Linked DNA regions of Macaca fascicularis. The protein of the gene in region 1 binds, or shares a complex with, the protein of each later gene. Links are inferred from orthologs where the notes say so. Each region holds a gene or a part of one and is shown on either strand. Other genes may lie near its edges.

Region 1 (15,174 bases):
ACAGCATTATCCTGATACCAAACCCTGGTAGAGACACAACAAAAAAAGAGAATTTTAGGCCAATATCCCTGATGAACATCAATGTGAAAATCCTCGCCGGGCGCGGTGGCTCACGCCTGTAATCCCAGCACTTTGGGAGGCCGAGGCGGGCGGATCACAAGGTCAGGAGATTGAGACCACGGTGAAACCCCGTCTCTACTAAAAATACAAAAAATTAGCCGGGCGCGGTTGTGGGCGCCTGTAGTCCCAGCTACTCGGGAGGCTGAGGCAGGAGAATGGCGTGAACCCGGGAGGCGGAGCTTGCAGTGAGCCGAGATCTCGCCACTGCACTCCAGCCTGGGCGACAGAGCGAGACTCCGTCTCAAAAAAAAAAAAAAAAAAAAAAGAAAATCCTCAATAAAATACTGGCAAACTGAATCCAGCAGCACGTTGAAAAGCTTATCCACCACGATCAAGTAGGCTTCATCCCTGGGACGCAAGGCTGGTTCAACATATGCAAATCAATAAATGTAATCCATCACATAAACAGAACCAATGACAAAAACCACATGATTATCTCAAAAGATGCAGAAAAGGCCTTCGACAAAATTTAACAGCAGAAAAGGCCTTCGACAAAATTCAACAGTCTTTCATGCTAAAAACTCTCCATAAACTAGGTATCGATGGAATGCATCTCAACATAATAAGAGCTAATTATGACAAACCTACAGCCAATATCATACTGTATGGGCAAAAACTGGAAGCATTCCCTTTGAAAATCGGCACAAGACAAGAATGCTCTCTTTCACCACTCCTATTCCACATAGTATTGAAGTTCTGGCCAGGGCAATCAGGCAAGAGAAAGCAATAAAGGGTATTCAGATAGGAAGAGAGGAAGTCAAATTGTCTCTGTTTGCAGATGACATGATTGTATATTTAGAAAACCCCATCATCTCAACCCAAAATCTTAAGCTGATAAGCAACTTCAGCAAAGTTTCAGGATACAAAATCAACATGCAAAAATCACAAACATTCCTATACACCAATAACAGACAGAGAGCCAAATCATGAGTGAACTCCCAATCACAACTGCTACTAACAGAATAAAATACCTAGGAATGCAACTTACATGGGATGTGAAGGACCTCTTCAAGGAGAACTATTAACCACTGCTCAAGGAAATAAGAAAGGAAACAAAGGGAAAAACATTCTATGCTCATGAATAGGAAGAATCAATATCGTGAAAATGGCCTTACTGCCCAAAGTAATTTATAGATTCAATGCTATCCCCATCAAGCTACCACTGGCTTTCTTCACAGAATTGGAAAAAACTACTTTAAACTTCATATGGAACCCAAAAAGAGCCCACATAGCCAAAACAATCCTGGGCAAGAAGAACAAAGCTGGAGCCATCACACTACCTGACTTCAAACTATACTACAAGGCCACAGTAACCAAAACAGTGTGGTACTAGTACCACAACAGATATATAGACCAATGGAACAAAACGGAGGCCTCAGAAATAACACCACACATCTACCACCATCTGATCTTTCACAAACCTGACACACACAAGCAATGGGGAAAAGATTCCCTATTTAATACATGATGTTGGGAAAACTGGCTAGCCATACGCAGAAAACTGAAACTGGACCCCTTCCCTACACCTTATACAAAAATCAACTCAAGATGGATCAAAGACTTAAACATAACACCTAGGACCATAAAAATCCTAGAAGAAAACCTGGACATAGACATGGGCAAAGACTTCATGTCTAAAACACGAAAGCAATGGCAACAAAAGCCAAAATTGACAAATGGGATCTAATTACACTAAAGAGCTTCTGCACAGATAGAAGAAACTATCATCAGAGTGAACAGGCAACCTACAGAATGGGAGAAAATTTTTGCAATCTACCGGTCTGACAAAGGGCTAATATACAGAATCTACAAAGAACTTAAACAAATTTACAAGAAAAAAGCAAACAACCCCATCAAAAAATGGGCAAAGGATATGAACAGACACTTTTCAAAAGAAGACATCTATGCAGTCAACAGACATATAAAAAAAAAAATGCTCATCATCACTGGTCATTAGAGAAATGCAAATCAAAACCACAATGAGATACCATCTCACACCAGTTAGAATGGCAATCATTAAAAAGTCAGGAAACAACAGATGCTGGAGAGGTTGTGGAAAAATAGGAAAGTTTTTACAGTGTTGGTGGGAGTGTAAATTAGTTCAACCATTGTGGAAGACAGTGTAGCAATTCCTCAAGGATCTAGAACTAGAAATACCATTTGACCCAGCAATTCCATTACTTGGCATATACCCAAAGGATTATAAATCATTCTGCAATAAAGATACATGCATACATATGTTTATTGTGGCACTATTCACAATAGCTAAGACTTGGAACCAACCTAAATGTCCATCAATGATAGACTGGATTAGGAAAATGCAGCACATATACACCATGGAATACTATGCAGCCATAAAAAAGGATGAGTTCATGTCCTTTGTAGGGACATGGGTGAAGCTGGAAACCATCATTCTCAGCAAACTATCACAAGATCAGAAAACCAAACACCACATGTTCTCACTCATAAGTGGGATTTGAACAATGAGAACACATGGACACAGTGGGGGATCATCACACACCAGGGCCTGTGGGGGGTGGGGGGCTAAGGGAGGGATAACATTAGGAGAAATACCTAGTGTAGGTGATGGGTTGATGGGTGCAGCAAACTACCATGGCACATGTATACCTATGTAACAAAACTGCATGTTCTGTACATTTAACTCAGAACTTAAAGTATAATAATAATAATAAAGAAAGCTGAACAACTGATTTGCAACCTGGTACTCGTAGTCACTGGCCAGATCACCAGGTGGCCCATTACTCAAGACAACCACTGCAACCACAGATGCTGACCACATACTGTACCCTTCATGTGCTTTGCCCAGCCCAGCCTGCATACCTTATCCCTGATGTCAATTCCCATGCTTTGCCTAATCAAAAAGTCCCTGTCAGCTTTTGTGGGGATCAGCAGCAGAGTTCTTACTACTGTACTGTCTCCCTTGCATTTGTGGATAAACCCTGAATTAAAAGCCTCATCTGGGAAAACTGTGTAGCTGTGTTAATTTTTATTACATAGGGAGCCAAAGAGCTTGTGATCTGTAACAGCAATGTTAGTACCATAGCTACACTGCAAAGTTGATGGACCAGAGAATATTTCTAAAACATCTTGCTCATAGTAGGTACTCAAATGAGCAATTAAAATGCCAAGAGCCTGTGAGAGGATACAGGCAGAGAGGTTTAAATTACAGTTAGTTCTATCCCTATCAAATGATTTACTGTTGGGAACAGGCACCCCAAAATCTGGCCATAAACTGGCCCCAAAACTGGCCATATACGAAATCTCTGCAGCACTGTGACATATTCGTGATGGCCATGACACCCACGCTGGAAGGTTGTGGGTTTACTGGAACGAGGAAAAGGAACACCTGGCCCACCCAGGGCGGGAAAACCACTTAAAGGTATTCTTAAACCACAAACTAAAATAGCATGAGCGATCTGTGCCTTAAGGACATGCTCCTGCTGCAGATAACTAGCCAAACCCATCCCTTTATTTCGGCCCATCCCTTTGTTTCCCATAAGGCATACTTTTAATCTATAATCTATAGAAACAATGCTTATCACTGGCTTGTTGTTAATAAATACGTGGGTAAATCTCTGTAAATCTCTGTTCGAGGCTCTCAGCTCTGAAGGCTGTGAGACTCCTAATTTCCCACTCCACACCTCTATATTTCTGTGTGTATGTCTTTTATTCCTCTAGCGCCGCTGGGTTAGGGTCTCCCCGACCGAGCTGGTCTCAGCAATTTACTATTTTGATTACGAAACCATTAACCTGTGAATATATATGGGTATAATTCTAAGACATACATATAACCTCTTAAAAAGCAAACATAGGCTGGGTGCGGTGGCTCACGCCTGTAATCCCAACACTTTGGGAGGCTGAGCCAGGTGGATCACGAGGTCAGGAGTTCAAGACCAGCCTGGCCAAGATAGTAAAACCCTGTCTCTACTAAAACTTCAAAAATTAGCCAGGCATGGTGGCAGGTGCCTGTAATCCCAGTTACTTGAGAGGTTGAGGCAGGAGAATTGTTTGAACCCAGGCGGCAGAGGCTGAAGTGAGCCAAGATCGTGCCACTGCACTCCAGGCTGGGTGACAGAGTGAGACTCCGCCACCAAAAAAAAAAAAAAAAAAAAGCAAATACAATATTATACTTAGTTTTATAATGGAGAGATAGTATATGTAAAGTTTAGTAGCTTGGGCTCTGGAGCCACAATACTAGGATTTAAAAAATCCCAGTTTAACAACAGCTGTGTAACTGAGCAATTGATTAATTTCCCTGCATCTCACCTTGTACATGCAATGGGGATGATAGCACCTACCTCAAAGGGCTGTTGTGAAAACTAAATTAATATTAGCAAGTGCTTCCATAGCACATGTCACATGGAAAACAGTGTTAATACAGGAATCCAGGTGTTTTTACTTAACATCATTGTGCAATGTCATTTCCCTGAATCTCTTAAAATGTCTGAGAATATTTTAATAGCTATATTATTTGATTAAAATATGCCACAATCAACAAATTTCTTTTTCTAGCACATTAAATACACACATTTTTATTGGCAGTTCTGATCATTTCCTAAATTTTTTTTTTTTTTTTGAAATGGAGTCTCACCATGTCACCCAGGCTGGAGTGCAGTGGCACGATCTTGGCTCACTGCAACCTCTGCCTCTTGGGTTCAAGTGATTATCCTGCCTCAGCCTCCCCAGTAGCTGGGATTATAGGTGTTTGCGACCATGCCTGGCTAATTTTTGTATTTGTAGTAGAGACAGGGTTTCACCATGTTGGCCAGGCTGGTCTCAAACTCCTGACTTCAAGTCATCCACCCGCCTCGGCCTCCCGAAGTGTTAGGATTACAGGAGTGAGCCACTGCGCCCAGTGATTTCCTAAACTTATAGAAACGGAGTTACTGTGTTAAAGGATATAAAAGCACAAAACACCCATCACAAGTTGCTTTCAGTTGTTTCTCAGGATTACACTTCCATCAGCAGCTTGGTGGCATGCCTGCTTTTTAAAAGCTATGACTGAAGACAACAGCCTCCTCATTTACAAGCTATTTTGATATATAACATGCTAAATGGAGGCCTAGTATACACATCTGTTTTGAACTAAAACTTTATCAAGAATCTCATCTTATCCACTGTGAATCTCACTGTAGGACTAGAGAGGCTATAAAGGAACATTAACAAATTTGGAATTTTGCCTGAGATCACAAACCTGGACTCAATTCTGTTAACAAAATTCATTCGGTAAACAAATATTTACTAAGCCATAGCTATATATGTGTATGTGTATCTCTTTCTCTCTCTGTCTCTGTCTCAGGCACTGTTTTGGGTGCCTGGAAAACTTCAGTGAACATGGCCCTACTGAGAAGCAAAGGCTAAGAAAAGATTTATACATGCTGAGAAAAAAACAGAACAATGGTTAGATTGGTTTTGTCATTTTTTTTTTTTTTTGAGACGGAGTCTCGCTCTGTCGCCCAGGCTGGAGTGCAGTGGCCGGATCTCAGCTCACTGCAAGCTCCGCCTCCCGGGTTTACGCCATTCTCCTGCCTCAGCCTCCCGAGTAGCTGGGACTACAGGCGCCCACCACCTCGCCCGGCTAGTTTTTTGTATTTTTAGTAGAGACGGGGTTTCTATTAGCCAGGATGGTCTCGATCTCCTGACCTCGTGATCCGCCCGTCTCGGCCTCCCAAAGTGCTGGGATTACAGGCTTGAGCCACCGCGCCCGGCCTGTCATACTTCTTACTAGCTTCTCAGAAACAATACAGGTTTAGAAGCCAAACTCATAAGGATAAGGGTGGTTTAATAATACATATTTCTCCAGATTCTTTGCTATTGTGATGTAAACTGGTTGGAATTTGCACCTTGCCAACAAATTTTTGCTGAAGCACTTGCCAAACCAATTGTGGCAACTGTTAAACCAGAGGTCTGCTCCAGCATCTGGAACTGGACACAGACATACTGTGGTCATGTGTTGCTTGCTTTGGGAATTGCTTGGGAGGCTAGACTTGGGAGAATACTTACTGTGAGCCTGGCAGTTAATGGTGGATCCCAACAAAGAGGAAGTTTTCACCAACCTTTCAGTTTTGACATAAAAATGTAAATTTATAAACATAAAACTTTTTTTTATAGCCTTCAATTTTAGTATGTGATAAGCCCTTGGGAGTTAAGAATTTAACTATATCCAAGTGCCCTGATTTTTCAATTCACTGAAGGTCAGAATAAATGGCCATCATCATAATTTGGTTTACTTCTTTAGCAAATCTCTGCAGACTTAAAAATCAGTTAAACATAACTGATAGAAATGGAGCTTAAATATGGCAGTAAGTGAAGCCAACTTAAGATATATGTGGAACAGCACTATATAAGTTATTACACATTAGCTTATATTAATACAATGATGGGACTGGAATTTGGAGAGATTCAAATTGGAGAGATTCCTGGGACAGTGGAAGCAGCTGTGAGATAGGAATTCAGCAGAACTAGTTTCTAAGACAGGAGAGACAGTAAACAACAGGTCAGAAGACCCGACTGATAAGCGAGGATACAGTAAAGAAACCAGCCAGAACCAAGATGGTGACAAAAGCAGCCTTCACCACTATCATACACTAATCATAATGCATGAGCTTATGTTGTTGGCAGTGTCCAAGGGTTTGGTCCTTCTCCTCCTCAGCTTTGCCATCACAGTAAACAGTATCATTATCCATGCACTGGCTCATATTAGAGGCACAGAAAGGTAGACAGTAGTATTTTCAGACAATGGGAGTGTCCACAGAGCAGGGTTCCTAGACATTGGATTGCTTTGAGGACCTCAACCCTGCCCATTTATGGTTTTTAGTTTCTCCTCTGGAATGTATCTAAAGGAATTTAAGAAACCTTCTCCACTTGGCTCTCTTGTTTTTCTCTTTAAAGTCTACAGTTTGTAATGGTAAAGACTTAAGCAAGTTCCTGAACTCTTTCAGGACCTAAAATTCTAGTCATGTTTGAGGAGAATGCAAGCACTGTTCCTCTAAAGATGACTCATCTAACAAATATGCTGCCTCTGATCATGCCAGTTCCATCAATTCAACAGAGGGACTGAAATCTGGCACTAGGAACTTTGCAACAAAATCTGTGCCACTTGTTAAAAGTGAAAGACTTGATTTCATTCATATCTTAAAAACAACAGGGTTTTAGAAAGGACACACACGTAAGTCAAGATTCAATATTTAAACTTAAAACTCATGAAGTATCAAAACTACTAACCATTCTATAAGCACTCCTTTCAAGACGTTGACCATGTTTTCTTAGTCAGAAGGTTCAGATGACCTCAAGAATGCTAATAAAAAGAAGAAGGTAACACTGAATTAAAAATCATTAACTTTCATATACTTTGGGGACTGCCTCTGAAATGAGGCAAAATAATTAAGTGTCAATATTTAACAGTTAAGTCTATGAAAGACAGTTAACATTAAGAGACATTCTGATTTTTTAACAAAATTAAAATGAGTCTACTTGGAATATTGCCACATCTTACTTGCCAACCAACTCTACCCAAGGTCAATTAGCCCTAATAGAAGCAAGCAGCCTAACTCTACACCAGTGTGCCCAACCCAGGTGTAAACTGTCCGTTATTCAAAGGATTTCTTTTCCCATTCAGGAGAATGACAAAGGGTAAGATCCTGGGAGACAGGACTCAAAGATAGTTCTGAAAGGTGCTTCAAAAATTACACAGTGAGCCCAACCACCTCCTTTTAGTTTATATTTTATTTTATTGAGACAGGGCTGGCTCTGTCGCCCAGGCTGGAGTGCAGTGGTGCGATCTCAGCTCACTGCAACCTCTTGCCTCCCAGGTTCAAGCCATTCTCCCACCTCAGCCTCTCGAGTAGCTGGGACTACAGGCAAGAGCTACCAAGCCCAGCTAATTTATTGTATTGTATTGTGTATATATATATATACACACACACACATATACTTTGCGACAGAGTCTCGCTCTGTCGCCCAGGCTGGAGTGCAGTGGCGTGATGGCGGCTGACTGCAACCTCTGCCTCCGGAGATCAAGATATTCTCCTGCCTCAGCCTCCGAGCAGCTGGGACTACAGGCGCCCGCCACCACGCCAGGCTAATTTTTGCATTTTTAGTAGAGACGGGGTTTCACCATGTTGGCCAGGCTGGTCTTGAACTCCTGATCTCAAATGATCCACCTACCTCGGCCTCCCAAAGTGCTGGGACTACAGGCGTGAGCCACCGTGCCCGGCCAATTTATTGTATTTTTAGTGGAGACGGGGTTTCACCATGTTGGCCAGGCTGGTCTCGAACTCCTGGCCTCAAGTGATCCACCCGCCTCGGCCTCCCAATGAGCTGGGATTGCAGGCGTGAGTCACCGGGCCCGGCCCCAACCACCTCATTTTACAGATGAGGAGACCAAAGGAAGAGATTAAGCCGTAGTTCCCGGGGAAAGGGGAAAAAAGTACAAGCCAGGTTTCCAGATCTTGTGCCCCTTCACTAAATAAATCACGTCCTGTGCGGACCTAGGCTGGAAAGAAATCACTCAGCGTCCGCCCACTTAACTAACTTCCACTTACACCTGGGCGCAGGGCGAGCCCTAGCCCCACAGGAAACCCACGATTAAACGAGTGCGGAACTGCAGTGCGGCCCCGCCAGGAAGGGCCTGGAGAGAGTGGGGGACACCGCCCTGTGCCCCCAGCACCCGGTGGACAGGCTTCTTGGGCTTTCCTCTTCTTCCCCTCTTTCTTTGGGACCCCTCAGTCTGCCCACACCCCACTTTCCCCAGCCACTCGGACGCTTGCCACACACCTCAGCCCACAGATGCAGAAGCGCCTCGGCGTCGCCGACACAGTGCGCCTGCGCCTATACGTCATCGCGCTAGGGACGCTGTTGTGAGTGGAGCGAACCGGCAGTAGGCGGGCCCGGAGAGGGCCGAGGGGGCGGGGTCATAAGCCGCCCGCCGCCGGGTGGAAGGCCCCGGCCGGGAGCCGAGGAAAGGGGAGGGCTCCCCAGACAACTGGGTCCGGCGAGCAGTTGGGGACAGGTTGAGTCTGCGTGCCGGCAGGTAGGACGTGAAGGCCGGGCTAGTGTGGGGGCGGACGGGGGCGTCGGAGCAGCTGGGCGCGGTGGGGAGTGGAGAATGGGGAGGGCAGTGGCCGGGCACGGCCGGGCGCCACCGTAAGGCGCGCGGACCGGACCGACCCGCTGACGCTCCCCTGGGTGTGAGGGCCTCTCTCTGGTGGTCGCGAGCCTGACTCGTCTTTCCCGGTCGCTGCCTTTCTCTGGCTGCTGTCGAGGCCTCGGGGAGTGCACCTACCGGTCCTTCTTCCCGGGCTCGGTAGTCACGGAGAGATAATGAGGAGGAGGAGGAAAGGGCCTCACCGGTCACTTCTGAGCCTTCCAGACCACCGCTTCCGGCTCCCCCTCTAACCCCAGAGATGGAAACGATTGAATACTGAGAGATCTCTAAATTCGGCAACGGTCATTTAAAAGTGAAAGACCCCAGAAGCTTCTGAAGTGATTCCCTTTCCCCAAATCTGTTCTGTAATCTAAAGGAGCACTCTCATTATTTTTACTAGTTGAGATATGAGATTCTTGTTTTCTGTTCCTTAGGTTAAATTGTACTTCCCGAATTAAGCTCTACCTTCTTTTTTTTTTTTTTTTTTTTTTTTTTTGAGATGGAGTCTCGGTCTGTCGGTCAGGCCGGAGTGCAGTGGCGCGATCTGCGCTCACTGCAACCTCCGTCCCCTAGGTTCAAACAGTTCTCCTGCTTCAGTCTCCCTAGTAACTGGGATTACGGGCGTGCGCTACCACGCCCGGCTGATTTTCGTATTTTTAGTAGAGACGGGGTTTGTCCATGTTGGCCAGGCTGGTCCGGAATTCCTGATATCAGGTGATCCGCCCCCGTCAGCCTCCCAGAGTGCTGGGATTACAGGTGTGAGCCACCGCGCCCGACCTCATACTGCGTTTTTTTTTTTTTTTTTTTTACATCGTGTGTGTTCATGTGATCGCTTAGGAACCCAGCTCTTCCATTTAGTTCCCTCTTTCAATTTGCTTTTTTTCATCTTGCATACATTCTCTTCCTTGACCTCATCAGTTCCATTTTTGTGCACTTGATGTGTGCCAGCTATTATTCTAGACACTTGGGATACAATGGTGAACAAGTAACTAATTTTGGTTGGGGCAGAGAGACACAAATCGGTTAAGGAATAAGTACCATTTGGTGATGTGATAAAGGGTGACTAGAGGGGTTATTTTGGCCGGGGGATGTCAGAAATTGCCTTAATTTCTGCATTTAAAAACCTTCTGTATATCAGTAACAATTAACTAGGAGTTTTAATAATAAAGACACTATTCATAATGGCGTTGAAAACTGAAGTTATCTAGAAGTAGATCAACCTAAAGCTGCGTAGTCCTTTAGACAGAAAATTGTAAGGCTCTGTTGGAACACAAAAGATGACCCAAGTAAATGGTAAGATATACCGTATTCATGGATGGAAAGACTCAACAAAATGATGTCAGTTTTCCTCAATTGTACAAATTCAGTGTGATGCCAATTAAAATCACCATATTGTTTTATGGAACTTGACATGCTGAACTTAAAATTTATATGGAAAGGCAAAGGGCCAAGAATAGTGAAGTCAATTTTGAAGAAGAAGAAAAATAAGGTCTCTATCAGATACCAAAGCTTAATATAAAGTTGTAATTATTAAGGTGGTATGATATTGATTCAAGGAAAGAGAAGTAGATTCATGGAACAGAATAGAGACACTAGAAACATACGTGTTTATGATGGGAGCTTAGTATACCACTAAGTAGTATTACAAAGCAGGGGGAAAGCATAGAATATTCTAATAAAGGATGATGAAATATGTGGCATCGTTGTGGAATACAGACAGGATTAGATTCTTTCTTTCAAACTACTGACGACAGTTTCCAGATAAAGACCTAAATGTGAATGGCACAGCTGCAAGGTATTTGGAAAGAAATATAAGAGACCATTGTCTCTAGGAAAGATTTCTTTTTTGTTTGCTTTGTTAAATCTTGTTACACATAAGATTTATCATGTTAACCATTTTGAGATGTTGAGTTCAGTGACATTCACATTGTGCAACCAGCACTACTATCTATCTCCAGAACTTTTTTTTTTTTTAATCTGAGAAGGATTTCTTAAGTTACAAAAAGCACCATTGAGGTGTCATTTTATTACTCCAAATGAGAGATGATATTGGCTTGAACTAGACAAGAGTAGCAGTGAATACAGAGAAAAATGGATGGATTTTGGGGTATGTTTTGATGATAGAGAAGAGCAACTATGCATGCTTTGGATGTAGGGTAAGGGAAAAACAAGGAATCAAGGGCAACAACTGTTTTCTTGCTTCAGTTAAGAGGTAGATCATTTACCATTTACAATAAAAAAGCATTGACCATTTGGTGGATGGTGATGGAGAAGATTTGTGGAAGAAGAGTTTGGATAGAAAAAGTAAATAATTCTGTTTTGGATAGTTAAGTATGAAAGGCTTATTGGACATCTAAGTGAAAATGTTCCGATAGCTGTTGGATAGATGGGTCAGGAAAGGTCGTAGCTAGAGGTACTCTGAGATCACTGGCATATAGATATTAAGAACTGTGGTGTGTTAGAATTAGATCAGCTGTACTACACAGAAAACAAGATAATACTGGCTTAAATATGTATGTAATTGCATAGGTAGGCAGCCATGCTTTTATGGCAGCAGCTCTGTAATCATCAGGGACTTGGATTCTTCTATCTGACTGCTCTACCGTCCTTAATAAGATGCTTCATGGTAAGATGACTGCTTTAATTCAAACTGTCAGTTGCTCATTCTAGCAAGAGGGAGGAGGGAAGGAGGAAGAAAGGCGCATACCCTTCTTTTTAAGGACACTTTTCAGAAATTGCACGACACATCCACTCATATTTCATTAGCCATTTCTTAGTAAGTGCCCATCGTTAACTAGAAAGAAAGAAAGGTGATGTAGTCTTTTTTCTTATCTGTGTACCCAGCTACAATTCAGGTTTTATAAATCAGAATGAAAGCATGAAATGAAGTTTCACTCTGGCTTTTTCTACCAGGGCAATGAAACTGCTGATATGAAGATCCCAGTGACCTCCATGTTGTTAAACTTAATGGAATTTTCAAATATTTGTTTTATTTTTAAGTTATAGTCTCTTCCCTTTTACTTTCTGTGTCTTTCTTAGTCTAAAAATTTCTCCCCGTTCTCTACTTAACATCAGTGTTTCAGATTTTATGTAATCGCCATCGTAATCTTTTTTTTTTTTTTTTTTTGAGATGGAGTCTTGTTCTGTTGCCCAGGCTGGAGTGCAGGCGCAATCTTGGCTCACTGCAAGCTCCGCCTCCTGGTTTCGGCCATTCTCATGCCTTAGCCTCCCAAGTAGCTGGGACTACAGGTGCCCGCCACCACTCCTGGCTAATTTTTTGGTATTTTTAGTAGAGATGGCGTTTCACCGTGTTAGCCAGGATGATCTCAATCTCCTGACCTCGTTCGGCCTCCCAAAGTGCTGGGATTACAGGCATGAGTCACTGCGCCTGGCCCCATAATCTTAAAGGTGCTTTTAAATAGAAATTGACAAGCAGACTCTAAAATTATGTGGAAGTACCAAGGACCTAGAATAGTTCATCTTGAAAAGGAAGGACACAGCTGGAGAATTTATACTGCTAGCTTCAAGACTTACTTTAAAAACTACAGTAATCTGTAGTAATCTGTAGGGCACGGTGGCTCACACCTGTAATCCCAGCACTTTGGGAGGCCAAGGTGGGTAGATCACGAAGTTAGGAGTTCAAGACCAGCTGGCCAACGTGGTGAAACCCTGTCTCTACCCAAAATACAAAAATTAGTCGAGTGTGGTGGTGGGTGCCTGTAATCCCAGCTACTTGGGAGGCTGTCAGGAGAATTGCTTGAACCTGGGAGGTGGAGGTTTCAGTGAGCTGAGATCGGGCCACTGCACTCCATCCAGCCTGGGCAACATAGTGAGATTGTCAAAAACAAGAACAAAACAAACACAGTAACAACAACAACAAAAAACCTACAGTAATCTAAACAGTGCAGTGTTTGTATAAGGATAGATAAATAGATCGATGGAGTGGAATAGGCCCATACTTACATATTCCATTAGGGTTTTTTTGTTGTTTTTTTGAGATGTGGGTCTCACTATGTTGCCTAGCCTGGTGTTGGGCTCCTGAGCTCAAGCAGTCCTCCTGCCTCAGGCTTCTGAGTAGCTGGGATTACAGGCATGTGCCACAGATATAGTCAGTTGATTTGTGGTCTCAAGCAATCATCCCATCTTGGCCTCCCAAATCACTGGGATTATAGGCATGAGCCACCACACTTGGCCCTATGGTATACTTTTTATCGTTATTTTATAGTGTATTCCTCTATTCCCTCTACTTATAAAAAAGTAAAATTTACTGTGAAACAGTATACCAAGTTATGCTGGCAGCAACCTCATATATCTCGTATAAAGTTTAGAAATTACATGTCAGCTTTTTGAGGCATTATAAACCATCCTAAAGGCTACTGGCTAAAACATTTATTATTGCTTGCACGCTAAGGGCTGAATATGGATTTGTACCATCAGCTAGGGGCTGGCTAGTTCGATGTGGCTTCACATGCTTGGCGGCTGGTGCTGGCTGTCAGTTGGTACTTGTTGGCTTCATTAATGGGGATATTGGACATTTCTCTTGTGATCTAGCAGACTAACCTAGGCATCTTTACATGGTGTTGGTCACAGGGTTCTCAAGAGCAACAAGACAGAAGCTTCGATGTGCACGTACTTCCCAAGTCTCAGCTTGCATTATGCTTCTGTTGTCCTATGGCCAAAGTTACTCGTAAGATCAATCTAAAGTCACCGTGGGAGGGAACTACCAAAGATCATGGTTATAGGAAAAGGAATAATTTGTGGTCATTAAAAAAAAATCTGCATTTAAGACAAAAACTGTGTAAAAAAAGCAGGCAGGTATAAAAGTGAGTCACCTGGAAGTTTTAGAAATAAAAATTTTTGAAATACTCAGTGGATGGATCAAATGATAGTCTAAACACAACTAAACAGAAGATGATGAATTGGAAGGTAGATTTGGGGAAATAATCCGTAGTGCATGTCAGAGAGACAGAAAAAAATGGAAGAAGTTGAGATTTGAAGGTTAGACTTTAAAAATCTAGCATACATCTAATAGGAGTACCAGAAAGTAAAAGTTGAATGGAGGTCAAAGTGATAATTATTAAGAATATTGCAGAATTGGCTGGGCGCGGTGGCTCAAGCCTGTAATCCCAGCACTTTGGGAGGCCGAGACGGGCGGATCATGAGGGCAGGAGATCGAGGCCATCCTGGCTGACACGGTGAAACCCCGTCTCTACTAAAAAATACAAAAAACTAGCCGGGCGAGGTGGCGGGCGCCTGTAGTACCAGCTACTCGGGAGGCTGAGGCAGGAGAATGGCGTAAACCCAGGAGGCGGAGCTTGCAGTGAGCCAAGATCGCGCCACTGCACTCCAGCCTGGGCGACAGAGCGAGACTCCGTCTCAAAAAAAAAAAAAAAAAAAAAAAAAAAAAAAAGAATATTGCAGAATTGAAGAAAAATGTGAGTTCTAAAATCGAAGGAGCATACCAAATCTTGAGTGGGGTATATAAAAACAAACTCATACCCAGACATAAAGTAGAGAATTGTAAGAACATCAAAAACAAAGATCTTAAAACTGCCAGATGGAACATAATATTGATACTAATGATAAGTAATATTTATTGAACACTTAATTTGGAATAGGCACTATTGTGTGTGTTTTACATATATTAACTTATGTGATATTTGTAACAACCCTTTACAGTAGTTCCCTTATTACCACCATTTTATAGATGAGGAAAGTGAGACACAGAGAGGTTAATTAACTAGCCCATTATCATATGTGTAGTGCTTTCAAATGTACGTGGATTTTGTTTTAATCAGGTATGGTAAGAAGACAGACACAGAGACAACTACCTTGAAAGAAGAGTTTATTATGTACAGTTCCCAAGGAAGAATGGGCATACCACACCA
Region 2 (15,337 bases), on another chromosome or scaffold:
TATCTCCCATCCCACATGGCCTTCTATAATGTGATCTTGACACTCCCATCATAAGATATAGTGGTCTATGCACTTTCTCCTTGAATCAGGTAGATTCTGACTCTCCTGTAACTTAAGAGAATGCCGCTGAAGCAATGCTGCATGACTTCAGAAGCCAGGTCAGAAAAGGCAATGAAGTTTCTGTCATGTTTGCTAAAACACTTTCTGGAGCCCTAAGCTGTCATTAAAAAGTAGTGATGGCTCAGGCCTATAATAATCCTAGCACTTTGGGAGGCCAAGGTGGGTGGATCACCTGAGGTCAGGAGTTCGAGACCAGCCAGGCCAATATGGCAAAACTCCGTTTCTACTAAAAAATACAAAAATTAGCCGGGCATGGTGGCACATGCCTGTAATCCCAGCCACTCAGCAGGCTGAGGCAAGAGAATTGCTTGAACCCAGGAGATAGAGGTTGCAGTGAGCTGAGACTGCACCACTGCACTCCAGCCTGGGCAACAGAGAGAGTCTCTGTCTCAAAAATTTAAATTTAAAAAAAAAAAATTTTTTTTTTTAAGTCATACACTATTCTGAGGCTGCTACATTCTGAGAAAGCCCAAACCATAAGGAGAGGTCACTTACAGATGCTCCATTAGCAGTTTTAGTCCTTGAGTCCTCCCAAGCTACGTCTCATGTCAGACATGAGAGTCAACACTACAGATCATCTCTCACCCCGCTGTCAACACTCGGCCTTAATGTCTTCCCAAATGAACCAGAGTCACGGTGGAAGGCAGGCAAGTCCTGTCCAAATTCCTGACCCACAGTATCCATGAACATAACAAAATAATTTTTTAAGTAGCTAAATTTTCGGGTAGTTATGCAACAGTAATTTAAATATGCATTCAAAAAAATCAGTATGCACTGGTCCTCTAATATTAATCCCATCATCTTATGTGAAAGAATAAGTGTGCTGTATTTTTGGTTTTTATTCTAATGTACACATACATAGCCTGTAAAACTTTGGGTTCAAAATTTGATACATATACAAAATAAATTTTTAATGAACCCTTATTAAATGGACTGGAATTATTAATCCCTATACCTGGGGGAAGGGTAAGAAAGACAAAGTTATCTATAATAGCTCAGAGATTTCCAGCTTTGATGAGAGATTAAAAGTTAGTATCACTGCCATACCAGAGAAGCAAGTAAGATGGTGGAAAAAGGAGAGGTAATGAGATCGGCTTTAGAGATATCTACAGATCACATATCCCTTCAAATACTTCTAGTAGGCACATATATACGAATATAAACTCAAATGGAGAGTCTAAATTATAGACAACATGTAACACACAATAGATACACATTGGCATATAACACATGTGTATCTGTGTCAATAAAATAAACATTTTAAAATTTGAAAAAAAAAGTACAGAGTTGGAATCATTAACAAATGCGTGGGAGAAAAATGAGATTGTACATAGAGAAGGAAGACTGAAGGCAGGATATCTGGGAACAACTTTGAGAGTCATATGAAGGAAAATGAACCCATGAAAGAGACTCATTTATTCATCCACTCATCAAATTTTTTTTGAGGCTAGGTGCACTGGCTTATGCCTATAATCCCAACACTGTGGGAGGCCAAGGCAGGCAGATCACTTGAGACCAGGAGTTCAAGACCAGCCTGGCTAACATGGAGAAAACCCATCTCTACTAAAAATACAAAAATTAGCCAGGCATGGTGGCACCCGCCTATAGTCCCAGCTACTAGGGAGGCTGAGGCAGGAGAATCGCTTGAACCCAGAAGGTAGAGGTTGCAGTGAGCCAAGATCATGCCACCGCACTCCAGCCTGGGTGACAAGAGTGTGACTCTGTCTCAAAAAAAAAAAAAAAAAAGTGATATGAATATTCCTGACAAAGACCTGAAGAGGTTAGGGAAGACTTCCCAAAAGCTGCGCAGAGGCCAGGTGCAGTAGCTCATGTCAGTAATCCCACCACTGGAAGGCCAAGGTGGCAGGCACACTTGAAACCAGGAGTTCGAGACCAGCCTGAGCCACAAAGCGAGACCCCCGTCTCTAAAATTGTCTTTAAAAAGCTGGTCAGGCACAGTGACTCACGCCTGTAATCCCAGCACTTTGGGAATCCGAGGCAGATGGATCACGAGGTCAGGAGTTTGAGACCAGCCTGGCCAGCACGGTGAAACCCGTCTCTACTAAAAATACAAAAATTAGATAGGCATGGTGGAGCACGCCTGTAATCCCTGCTACTCAGGAGGCTGAAGCAAAGAATCACTTGAACCTGGGAGGCGGAGGTTGCAGTGAGCCAAGATCGCACCACTGCACTCCAGCCTGGGCCGACAAAGGGAAACTCCATCTCAAAAAAAAAAAAAAAAAAAAAAAAAGCTGAGCAGAGACCTCATGTTATAAACAGGAGTAATCAGGCAAAAAGGAAGGGAAAAAGGTAGGAGGAGTCAAGAAAGAACCCTACCGAATAGAAAAAACCAAATTGTGCAAAAGACCCCATAATGCAAGATAGGATGGCATATTCAAAGAATGACAGAAGGTCAATGTAGCGGAAGCGCAGAGTGTGAAGTTGGAAGTGGAATAAGAAGAGTTTGGCCTTTATCAAGAGATTTGAGTTTAGCAGGGTTGTGGCTAGGTCACATTTTCGTTTCTGAAAGATCCCTATGGCCAGTGTGGAGAATGGATTGGAAGTACACAAATCAGTTAGGAGTAATCTAGGCAAGGGATGGCAGCAACATGAACTAGAATGATGGTGAAGGGGATAGAGAAGTGACCAGATTTGACGTATTTAGGAGACAGAACCAACAGGGCTTGGTGACTGATTAGATATGGAGGTGAAAGAGAGGAGTCAAAAATGATGGCCAGGTTTTTGATTTCAACAACAGAGGGTACAACAGTTGTACCTCAGTGTCCATTGGAGACTGGTTTCAGGACCTCCCATAGATACCAAAACACAGATGCTTAAGTCCCTGACATGAAATGGCACTGTTATATACCCTAGGCACATCCTCCTGTATCCTTTAAATTATCTCTAGATTACTTATAATACCTAATACAATGTAAATGCTATGTAAAGAATTGTTTACTTGTAATGTTTATGGAATAATGACAAGAAAAAAAGTCTGTACATTTTTACAAGGGCACAATTTTTTTCTAATATTCTCTTTTTTGTTGAGACAGGGCCTTACTGTTACCCAGGCTGAAGTGCAGTGGTGTGATCACAGCTCACTGTAGCCTCAAACTCTTAGGGCTCAAGCAATCCTCCCACCTCAGTATCCCAAGTAGCTGGGATCACAGGTACACGCCACCATGCCCAGCTAATTTTTAAATTTTTTTGTAGAGATGAGGTCTCCCTATGTTGCCCAGGCTGGTCTCAAACTCCTGGCCTCAAGCTTTTTAATATTTTCAATCCAAGATTAATTGAATATACAGATGTGAAACCTACAGATACAGAGGGCCAACAGTGCCCTTCACCGAGACAGAGAACACAGGAGGCAGTGACTTTGGGAGGGGAATAGCAAAAGAAAATAATTAGCTCAGTTTGGGCAGTGACAAGGTGAAGTAGCCTGGGAGATACCCTAGTTGGCCAGTGGCAGTTAGATACCAGGGCTTTTAAACTAGAAGTATACATTCAGAAGTCATCCACATACAAATGGTAACTAAACAATGTAAAATGGATGAGATCACCCAAAGAGAATGTGAACAGGAAAGAAAATGAGAACAAAAGTCAGATAAGAAGAATCAAGTGGAAGTGATGTGGCTAGAAAGCTGAGTGAGTTTCCAGGAAGATGTCATCAATAGTTTTGAAGACCACAGGGTTTAGATAAGATTTTTAAAATATCCATCTCATTTATCAATTGAGAAGTCACTGTGAATCTTAGAGCTATCTTAATGCAGTAGCATGAGTAGAAACATATTGTAATCAGTTGAAAAGGACATGAAAGATGAAAATTAGAAACAAGGACAGCTTATTATTTTTATGTTTGGCTGTGAATGAAAGGAGAAAGGTAAAATACTAGAAGAAAAAGGAAAAAATGAAAAGTTTAACTTGTTTCCATGTGGATGACAGAAATCTGACATTTTCACATAGTGGCTGAAAACTGATGAGGACATTATCTAATAAACATTTCAGAGGACATGGACAAGAATAAAATGTAGGCTCACTGCTAAAGCAACTATGATAAACTCTTTTTTCCACGGGATCATTATACATTGCAAAACTAGTACAAATCACCACTATGGTGGTCACTTGGCATCATCTAGCAAAATGTTAAAGGTGTGTATCATTTGACGTGACAATTTTATATGTAGAAATGCATCCCACAGACATACTTGGGCAAATTATATGTACAAGATTATTCATTTACAGCACTGAACCCGAAAATGACTAGAAATAAATCAAATATCCATCAAGAGACTACTTAAGTTATGGTACATCCACACAAACTAAGTAACTGGGGGAGTGGGCGAAGGGGCGGGGGCGATGCTTTCTGTGTACTGATACAAAAATCTAGATACATTAAGCAAAATCTAAAAGTGGAGAAAAGTGTGAATATTACTTTCTGTCTTTAAAAAAGGAGAAAAATCCCATTTATATTTGCTCAAATATGCATAAAGAAACTGTGGAGGCTGGGCGCAGTAGCTCACACCTGCAGTCCCAGCACTTTGGGAGGCTGAGGCAGGTGAATCACCTGAGGTCAGGAGCTTGAGATCAGCCTGGCCAACGTGGAGAAACCCTGTCTCTACTAAAAATACTACTATTAGCTGGGCATGTTGGTGCACGCCTGTAATCCCAGCTACTAGGGAGGCTGAGGCAGGAGAACTGCTTGAACCTGGGAGACGGAGGTTACAGTGAGCCAAGATTGCACCACTGCACTCAAGCCTGGGCAACAGAGCAAGACTGTCAAAAAAAAAAAAAAAAAAAAGAAACTGCGGAGTGATTAAAATCTATTGTAACAGTAGTTACCCACTGTGGAGAGTTCAAACTGGGCAGATGGTGGGTAAGAAGGAGACCTGACACTTTAATTTTTTTTTTTTGAGACAGGGTCTCACTTTGTTCTTGGCTCACAGCAGTGTCAACTTCCAAGGCTCAAGTGATCCTCCTGCCTCAGCTCCCCAAGTAGCTGGGACTATAGGTGAGCACCACCACACCCAGCTAATGTTTCCATTTCTTATAGAGAGGGGGTCTCCCCTGTTGCCCAGGCTGGTCTTGAACTGCTGAGCTCAAGCGATCCACCCACCTCAAGCTCCCAAAATGCAGGGATAACATGCGTGAGACACTGTACCAGCCACCCCACTTTAACGTTTTTAAACTTTCTGGCTTGTGAGCTGAGAATGTATTACCTAGCCAAAAATTATGCTTTAAAAAATCTTTTTTTCGAATTTTTCTTCTACTGAGATAACAGTTAAAAAGAACAAGTACTATAATGATGCTAATAAATTTCTAGAACACAAGATATAAATGAGACAAGTTTAAACAGCTTTAAAAGTTTAAGTTTTTGGCTGAGCACAGTGGCTTACGCCTGTAATCCCAGCACTTTGGGAGGTTGAGACAGGCAGATGGCTTGAGCTCAGGAGTTTGAGAACAGCCTGGGCAACATGGCCAGACCCTATCTCTCAAAAAAAATTGTTTAAAAAGTTTAAGCTTTTGCTTCAATTTTTTCCATCTCATTTATCAGAAGTAGCTGAGGGAATAAAGAGAGGAGATGTAAGGGGTGGCCAAGGAATTGAGAGCTAGAAGAAAATAAGATTTGCATTAGTAGATATGGAGAATAGAAAAGGCAGCTACGAAAATACACTAGATTCAACTAAGAATTCTGTTTTTTTTTTTTTTTTTTTTTTTTTTTTTTTTCAAGACAAGAGTCTTACTCTGTCATTCAGGCTGTGGTGCAGAGGCGCAATCTCAGCTCACTGCAACCTCTGCCTCCTGGGCTCAAGCGATGTGGCCTCAGCCTCCCGAATAACTGGGATTACAGGCGCGCGCCATCACACTCGGCTAATTTTTGTATTTTTAGTAGATGCGGGATTTCCCCCATGTTGGTCAGGCTGGCCTCAAACGATCTGCACGTCTCGGCCTCCCAAAGTGCTGGTGGGAGCCATCGCGCTCGGCCACTACTAAGAATTCTATATGCGCAAAGAAACAGATTTTTTTTTTTTTTTTTTTTTTTTTTTTGAGACGGAGTCTCGCTCTGTCGCCCAGGCTGGAGTGCAGTGGCGCGATCTCGGCTCACTGCAAGCTCCGCCTCCCGGGTTCACGCCATTCTCCTGCCTCAGCCTCCCGAGTAGCTGGGACTACAGGTGCCCACAACCGCGCCCGGCTAATTTTTTGTATTTTTAGTAGAGACGGGGTTTCACCGTGGTCTCGATCTCCTGACCTTGTGATCCGCCCGCCTCGGCCTCCCAAAGTGCTGGGATTACAGGCGTGAGCCACCGCGCTCGGCCGAAACAGATATTATACATTGGTCCAGTGTAGCAGAATACATATCATCTGAGAACTGTGACATTGTGAGAACTGTGACACTGTGAGAAGAGGAAATTTAAACGCCATCCTTTAAGACAATTTACTTTGACTTACAAACAGCATGAAGAAATGTCAGACTAAACCGAGTCCCCCCACCCTCCCCCCGATATTCTCTGTCCCGATATATTTCCAGGGCCTTCCACACTGCCTGACACAGGCTGACATTCAACACTTCAGCTATTCAGTAAGTCGACTGTGGCTTTAAGGAAAAATTTTAAAGGGTGCTCTTTGCTTCAAATTCAAAACCACGGAATTTATCTTACGGTTCTGCACGCTACTTCACTACAGGAAGCGAGGATCAGATCTAAGGGAACGAGAAAGTGCAGAGAGCAGCAGTGAACCTAACCGGGAACATTAACGCTGTGTTCCCTGCACCCTCTGCCTCTCCCTACCCCAGTTTCGTTCCCGGCCTGAAAGGTGTGGGAACAAGGCTAGGGACTGTCCGGCCGGCGGGAGGGAAGGCCCCAATCATCAATCCAATCAGTTCCCCAAGCTTCCCTGCTGGACCGCCGTGGCATGTGTTTCACCTACCCTCATCCGCGTCGTACATATTGCCAAACGGTTCCCGAGCTCCTAACTCGAAATCAAAGACAAAAAGCGCGCAGAAGCCACCAGCGCCGGGAGCTAAAGACCAAGTAACTTCCGTCTCCGACGTTCCCAGAATACTGTGCGTCTCACACAAGAGGCCGCCCACAGGGACGCCAATGTTAGGATCTGCGCCTGCGCAAATTGTAGGGCAAGCTTGGGCGGGAGTTGGGTTGCACACGCGCAAATTGTGGGCCGCCGCTGCCGGTGGCTGATTGAGAGGACAGCTCCCGCAATCTGCTGTCGCATCCGTCCCGTTAATGTTTTATTTCTGCTTGTTTTTCAATGTCGTTGCACAAATAACGACACCTGAAAACAAAGCCAAGTATACTTATTAATAAAAAGTGCTCGTTCTGTGAATCCGCGACATTGGGATGCTCAATTGATTTGCCTTTATAAAGACCAAAACACGAAGCAATTTTTATTTTTATTTATTTATTATTTTTTGAAATGGAGTCTCGTTCTGTTGCCCAGGCTGGAGTGCAGTGGAGCGATCTCGGCTCACTGCAACCTCCGTCTCCCGGGTTCAAGCGATTCTCCTGCCTCGGCCTCCCAAATAGCTGGGATTACAGGCGCGCGCCACCACGCCCGGCTAATTTTTGTATTTTTAGTAGAGACGGGGTTTCACCACATTTGCCAGGCTGGTCTCGATCTCAGGTGATCCGCCCGCCTCGGCCTCCCAAGGTGCTGGGATTAGAGGCGAGCTGCCCGCTCGCCTACCGTTCCAGCCACGCGCCCGGCCAGAAGCTCCGTTTTGTTTTGTTTTGTTTGAGACGGAGTTTCGCTCTGTCGCCCAAGCTTGAGTGCAGTGGCGCGACCTCGGCTCACTGCAAGCTCCGCCTCCCGGGTTCACGCCATTCTCCTGCCTCAGCCTCCTGAGTAGCTGGGACTACAGGCGCCCGCCACCACGCCCGGTTTATTTTTTGTATTTTTAGTAGAGACAGGGTTTCACCGTCTTAGCCAGGATGGTTTCGATCTCCTAACCTCATGATCCGCCCGCCTCGGCCTCCCAAAGTGCTGGGATCACAGGCGTGAGCCACCGCGCCCGGCCCGGAAGCTCCTTTTTAAATGTGATTTATTACGGGCGGCTTGGGCTAGCAGTGAGGCGTTAAGCCTGAAAGTGAAAAAACTCAAAACGCTCATCGCTCTCTTCTGCCCATCTAGCTCAATCCTCCAGTGCCTCCAATGCCTTTGCTATAGCTTTAAGTAGGTTATCAGTCTCGGCGCTTAAATCGCGAGAACTCACGAGATTAGACGCAAAACTAACCAGGACAGCTCCCAAGTACCCACTCGCTTTCGTCTCGGTTCTAACACGCGCGTCGCCTCGGGCCCTAGTACGCGTGCGCGCTTGTGACTCCGCCCCTTTGCCTGGAGCTATTTCCTCATGCTGCCCGCTCGCCTGCAGTTCAGGCTGCTGAGCCTTTTCTTTCGTGGATTCGCTCCCACGGCAGCGCGCCATGGCCTCCGGGAGCCGCTCTTGGGGAGGAGGCGCGCTGCCGCCTCCTCCTTCCAGCACTCATCGAGTCTGGGACGCGAGCTTCCTTATGACCCCGTGGACACGGAGGGCTTTGGAGAAGGTGCTGACATGCAGGAGCGTTTTCTGTTCCCGGAGTACATCCCGGAGCCGGAGCTGGAGCCCACCCGCGAAGAGCAGCTGCAGGAGCTCCAGCAACAGCAGGAGGAGGAGGAGCAACAGAGGCAGCAGCGGCGGGAGGAGCGGCGACAGCAAAACCTACGGACCAGGCCCCGGGAGCACCCGGTCGTGGGGCACCCGGACGCGGCAGTGCCGCCCAGCGGCGTGAACTGCTCGGGCTGCGGGGCAGAGCTGCACTGCCAGGACCCCGGCGTGCCCGGCTACCTGCCCTGCGACAAGTTCCTCCGCACGGCGGAGGCAGACGGCGGGCTGGCGCGGACCGTGTGCCAGCGATGCTGGCTGCTGGTGCACCACCGGCGCGCTCTACGCCTGCAGGTGAGCCGCGAGCAGTACCTGGAGCTGGTGAGCGCCGCGTTGCGGCCGCCGGGGCCTTCCCTGGTTCTCTACATGGTGGACCTGCTCGACCTGCCCGACGCCCTGCTGCCCGACTTGCCCGCGCTGGTGGGCCCCAAGCAGCTGATCGTGCTGGGAAACAAAGTGGACCTCCTGCCCCAGGATGCTCCTGGCTACCGGCAGAGGCTGCGGGAGCGACTGTGGGACGACTGTGCCCGGGCCGGGCTCCTGCTGGCCCCTGGCCACCAAGGGCCACAGATCCCCGTCAAGAACGAGCCACAGGACGGGGAGAATTCGAATCCGCCGAACTGGTCCCGCACGGTGGTCAGAGACGTGCGACTGATCAGCGCCAAGACCGGCTATGGAGTGGAAGAGTTGATCTCTGCCCTTCAGCGCTCCTGGCGCTACCGTGGGGACGTCTACTTAGTGGGCGCCACCAACGCCGGCAAATCCACTCTCTTTAACACGCTCCTGGAGTCCGATTACTGCACCGCCAAGGGCTCCGAGGCCATCGACAGAGCCACCATCTCCCCTTGGCCAGGTGAGTTTTAGGAGGCTCTCTCCCTCTTCGTTTTCTGACAAGGTGGACGTCTGGTCCTAGCTGAGGCACCGACTACATCCTCCCTTAATGTCCACTACGGGCTGCCGGTACCCTTCCCTTTACAAATTCTCTCCCCACTCTGGTCATACCTCTCTTCTGTGTCAGCTTACTGCTAGGAAAAATTCAGGATGTGTTGTAGTAATTTTCTAATTACAGTGTTTATGGAGCACTTCTCTGTTCCCAGTCGCTAGGCACTGGAGATAGACCAGGGAACAAAACAAAGTTCCTGTTCTGGAGATCTGCTTTGTAACTTCTTTGTATATTGTTTCAGAAAGTGTGCGCCCTTTTTACTGTCTGAACCTAATGAAATTTGTGGGTTTTTTTGTTTGTTTTGGTTTTGAGACAGAGCCTCACTCTGTCGCCTAGGCTGGAGTTCAGTGGCGTGAGATCTCAGCTCACTGCAACCTCCTCCTCCGGAGTTAAAGAGATTCTCCTCCCTCAGCCTCCTGAGTAACGGGGATTACAGGCACACGCCACTATGCCCAGCTAATTTTTGTAATTTTAGTAGAGACGGGGTTTCACCATGTTGGTTAGGCTGTTCTCTAACTCCTGACCTCGTGATCCGCCCGCCTCGGCATCCCACAGTGCTGGGATTACAGGCGTGAGCCGCCGCACTTGGCCTAATTTTTGTATTTTTAGTAGAGATGGGGTTTCACCATGTCGGTCAGGCTGGTCTCGAACTCCTGGCCTCACGTGATCTGCCCACCTTGGCCTCCCAAAGCGCCGAGATTACAGGTAAGCACCACCATGCCCAGCTAATTTTTGTATCTTTGGTAAAAACAGGGTTTCACCACGTTGGCCAGGCAGGTCTCCAACTCCTGACCTCAAGTGATCTACCCACCTCATCCTCCCAAAGTGCTGGGATTACAGGTGTGAGCCACCACTCCTGGCTCATTAGTGCAATTTGATGTGTGGCTTCGCTGGGCTCAGTGGCTCACATCTGTAATTCTAGCTTTTTTTTTTTTTTTTTTTGAGAGGGAGTCTGGCTCTGTCGCCCAGGCTGGAGTGCAGTGGCCGGATCTCAGCTCACTGCAAGCTCCGCCTCCCGGGTTTACGCCATTCTCCTGCCTCAGCCTCCGAGTAGCTGGGACTACAGGCGCCCGCCACCTCGCCCGGCTAGTTTTTTTTTGTATTTTTTAGTAGAGATGGGGTTTCACCGTGTTAGCCAGGATGGTCTTGATCTCCTGACCTCGTGATCCGCCCGTCTCGGCCTCCCGAAGTGCTGGGATTACAGGCTTGAGCCACCGCGCCCGGCCGCTTTTTTTTTTTTTTTTTTTTTTTTTTTTTGAGACAGAGTCTCACTCTGTCGCCCAGGTTGGAGTGCAGTGGTGTGATCTCACCTCACCGCAACCCTTGCCTCCCGGGTTCAAGCAATTCTCCTGCCTCAACCTCCCGAGTAGCTGGACTACAGGCACACACCACCACACCCAGCTAATTTTTTGTATTTTTAGTAGAGAGGGGGGTTTCACCATGTTGGCCAGGATGGTCTGGAACTCCTGACCTCAAGTGATCCACCCGCTTGGGACTCCCGAAGTGCTGGGATTACAGATGTGAGCCACCACGCCCAGCCAGGTTTAAATTTAAGTTTACAAAACTGACTGCCCTATTTGTTCCCTTGAAACCAGAGTTTCATTTAGTAAGCTGCTCTTCTCTGTCTTGCACTTTGAATTTTACACAAATATTACTTTTATACTGAATGGTAATGTGATGAAAATTGAAAGAAATCGGGCCTATAGATTTTGGATTCAAATTCTGGTTTCCCCTGTGAGCTAATCTCTTAACCTATTTCCTCATTTGTAAAGTGTCAGTAATTTTATGTTTTATTACAGTAACCGACACAGTGTAGATCTTCAAAAATGTTCATTTTCTTCCCCCTTATTCCCTTTTCTAAAGATGTATTTATTCTGTGTATTTCAGGTACTACATTAAACCTTCTAAAGTTTCCTATTTGCAACCCAACTCCTTACAGAAGGTTTAAAAGACATCAAAGACTTAAAAAAGATTCAACTCAAGCTGAAGAAGATCTTAGTGAGCAAGAACAAAATCAGCTTAATGTCCTGAAAAAGCATGGTTATGTCGTAGGTAAGCATCCTCTATGGGAAAACCCTGGTTGGTATTATGCTAAAATTCTTTGTTAAGCAACGTGAAATACGGTTGTCCAAGGCTAGCCAGTTTTTGTGGGGAGAGACTGCCTTCCTCGTTCTGCAACAAAGAGGCCTTTTAGCACTCAGGCTACTATTTGGAAACCCAGAGCGGTACAGGTAGTAAAAGTTTTTACTCCATGCAGCAGCTTTAGATTAGATTGTCTGTCTTTCCTTGGTATATCTTTTCAGGCTTTCTTTAAAACAGTTTGATTTCCACACACACTCACCCCTGCCACTCCATGTACACCGCCAGACACACACTTGATGATTGCAAGAGTTTGACTCCCATTGCTTTTTGGAAGAAAAAAAAGTATCATTGTTGTCTCACTTCCCTACACTGTAATCTTAGTAACTTGTTTGAGGGAAACATAAAAATTATGTCTGGAGTCAAAAGTATTAAAGGAGTGACTGATAACCTTACTATAACTTGTTCTAGGAAGGGTTGGAAGGACATTCTTGTATTCAGAAGAACGGAAGGATACAGTTCCCTTTGAGTTTGATGCTGATTCACTTGCCTTTGACATGGAAAATGAACCTGTTATGGGTACGCACAAATCCACCAAACAAGTAGAATTGACTGCACAAGATGTGAAAGATGCCCACTGGTTTTATGACACTCCTGGAATTACAAAAGAAAACTGTGTATGTATTTGGTTTCCTTTAGAAACATTTACTTTCTTTTTCTTTTTTAATGGGTTTATATTGCTTGCTGCTCATATATAGCCAATTTATCAAGACAGGGGAATTGCAATAGAGAAAGAGTGTAATGCATGCAGAGCCAGCTAAATGGGAAACTGGAGTTTTATTACTAGTCATATCAGCCTCTGAAACATTTACTTTCAATTGTACAAGTACCGCTGTCTTAATTGGCAGAAAACAGGAAAAGAAGTATACTTCCATTTTAGACTCAGTTCTGATTCATTCATAAAAGCTGTTTAAGGGTGAATCTGTATGCCCTCAAGTTCTCTGTTCCATTTGATAGACTTCATTGCTGACAACCAACTTATTTCTTATCATTGTGATTGTTACCTTAGTTAGGGAAACATTTACAGAAGCCTAGGTTTTGAGATTGGAAAAAAACATAAATATCACTGAAGTCCACCTCCCTAGTTCCTGCTTGAATTACCCCTATAACATATCCATCAAGGGGTCCTCCATCTTGAACTGACAGGAGTGACTCACCATTAACTGAAACTGTGCCCCGTCACCTTCCAAGGTAACTCATTTGGGTCTTTGACCTTCTCTTTATATTGAGTGTACTGAGCTGAACAGTCTCCCTGTAACATGCACCCATTGTTCCCTAAAGCCATATGGGACTAACGTAATACCTATTTCCCTTGCCAGACTTTGAAATATTTTAAAGTGTAACATCCCATCTCTTCTTCACCTATCCCTCCCTTTTCTTCTCTTTCATTAGTTCATCCAGCAAACATTGAGCATTTACTGTGCTGACAATCTGGATTATTTGTCTTCATTTCCTACAGCTGTGCTCCCTGAGAAACAGGCTATTCATTGACCCAGGCCTCTTCAGAATGTTTTCTATGTTTGTTCTTAAAGTTTGACACTGAGAACGCAGTGCTCTCAGGTGAGCATGATTTAGAATAGCATTAACTCCAGCTGGGCACAGTGGCTCACACCTGTAATCCCAGCACTTTGGGAGGCACAGGCAGGCAGATCACAAGGTCAGGAGATCAAGACCATCCTGGCTAACACGGCGAAACCCCGTCTCTACTAAAAATACAAAAATAGCCAGGCATGGTGGCAGGCGCCTGTAATCCCATCTACTGGGGAGGCTGAGGCAGGAGAATGGCATGAACCCAGGAGGCAGAGCTTGCAGTGAGCTGAGATTGCGCCACTGCACTCCAGTCTGGGTGACATAGCGAGGCTCCTTCTCAAAAAAAAAAAAAAAAAAAAGAATAGCATTAACTCTACCTGTCTTGTTCCTATGCCTCTCTTTAATCCAACTGCTCATGGACAACTTTGGGACTCATAGGTAACTTTGACTTTGTCTTGTTAAATTCAGCCTATATCTTACTCTGTTAAATATTCATTAAATCTCATTACTTTCCCTTGCCTTGCCTTTGCGTTGCAGTTTGGATCTTCATTCAGATCATTGATTGACTCAAATGTGCATCCAGGATACAGCCTCACAAGAGATTCATTAATCACTTCCTTTGAATCTGGTTACTGACCAGTTTCTGATTATTCTAATTATCTCTGTGTCTCCCTACAAAACCACATTGGTTTCTTAGGTACTTTTCTTGGCCTTGTCAGTAACACTTACAGTTACATTCTCAGAATTGTATTCTATTTGGTGTCCCCTGTCACTGAATCATACAGACCTTTTAACTTTTATTGCCCTCCTAGAATAATTGCTAATGCCATCTTTTCTTCCTTAGCAGTCCAAAAGTTCAGAACTGCTTTCTAATAATATTCTATCACTTTAGCTTAATGAACTAATTCTTCCTCCCCACAACTTTTTTTTTGAGACGGTCTCCCCCAGGCTAGAGTGCAGTGGCGCAATGATCTTGGCTTACTGCAACTTCTGCCTCCTGGGTTCAAGCAATTCTCCTGCCTCAGCCTCCCAAGTAGCTGGTTTTAGAGGCATGTGCCACCACACCCGTCTACTTTTTGTATTTTTACTAGAGATGGTTTCACCAGGCTGGTCTTGAACCCCTCACCTCAGGTAATCCACCCACCTCGGCCTCCCAAAGTGCTAGGATTACAGATGTGAGCCACCACGCCCAGACTAATTCTTCCCTCTCAGATGCTGTTAGATCAGGCATAGCAGTTACTTAAGTCATATACCCTCTATGAAAGAGTTGTGTCAGAAAGGCAAGAATTTGCAAAATATTCTAGACAGCAGAATGAGAACCCCAAATTTTTAGATATAAATGTCTGTCAGCACAGGTAGTTTTCTTCTCTGTTAGTTTACAGATACACTTATTTGCTGTCTTAAACCAGGATTTCCCAAACTGAACCAAGTATCTCTGTTGTGAATGGAAGTATTAAGACTCAGGCTGCGCACCGTGCCTTACGCCTATAGTCCCAGCACTTTGGGAGGCGGAGGTGGGAGGATTGCTTGAGCCCAGGAGTTTGAGACCAGCCTGGGCAACATGCCAAAACTGTATCTCTACTAAAAATACAAAAAATTAGCTGGGCATGGTGGTGCATGCCTGTAATCCCAGCTACTCAGGAGGCTGAGGCACAAGAATCACTTGATACACTTATTGGGAGGCAGAGGTTGCAGTGAGCTGAGATCTTGCCACTGCAGCCCAGCCTGGGCAACAGAGGGAAACCCTGTCTCAACAAAAAAAAATAAACAGAGAGACAAGGTTTTCCCTGTTGCCCAGGCTGGAATGCAGTGGCATGATCAAGTAACTACAAAGTCCTGGGCTCAACCAATCCTCCCACTTCAGCCTCTCAAGTAGCTAGGGCCACAAGTACACACCACCATGTCCAACTAATTGTTTAGTTTTTGTAGCGACAGGACCTTGCTATGTTGCC

Evidence for each region.
Region 2: GTF2H5 (region 1) and POLR2B share a complex: the UniProt entries of both Homo sapiens proteins name them as parts of the TBP-based Pol II pre-initiation complex. The link is inferred for Macaca fascicularis from reciprocal best matches to the Homo sapiens genes GTF2H5 and POLR2B.

The regions. Positions count from the first base shown.
Region 1 is NC_088378.1:66,512,884-66,528,057, reverse strand, and holds the start of GTF2H5 (general transcription factor IIH subunit 5), read right to left. Parts: upstream 8,963-15,174; 5' UTR 8,917-8,962; intron 7,439-8,916; 5' UTR 7,401-7,438; coding exon 7,366-7,400; intron 1-7,365. UniProt on the Homo sapiens protein: Component of the general transcription and DNA repair factor IIH (TFIIH) core complex, which is involved in general and transcription-coupled nucleotide excision repair (NER) of damaged DNA and, when complexed to CAK, in RNA transcription by RNA polymerase II.
Region 2 is NC_088379.1:76,890,512-76,905,848, forward strand, and holds the start of POLR2B (DNA-directed RNA polymerase II subunit RPB2), read right to left. Parts: upstream 7,151-15,337; 5' UTR 7,064-7,150; coding exon 7,045-7,063; intron 1-7,044. Other genes in the region: NOA1 (nitric oxide-associated protein 1), read left to right, coding at 8,483-9,626, 11,604-11,768, 12,267-12,472. UniProt on the Homo sapiens protein: Catalytic core component of RNA polymerase II (Pol II), a DNA-dependent RNA polymerase which synthesizes mRNA precursors and many functional non-coding RNAs using the four ribonucleoside triphosphates as substrates.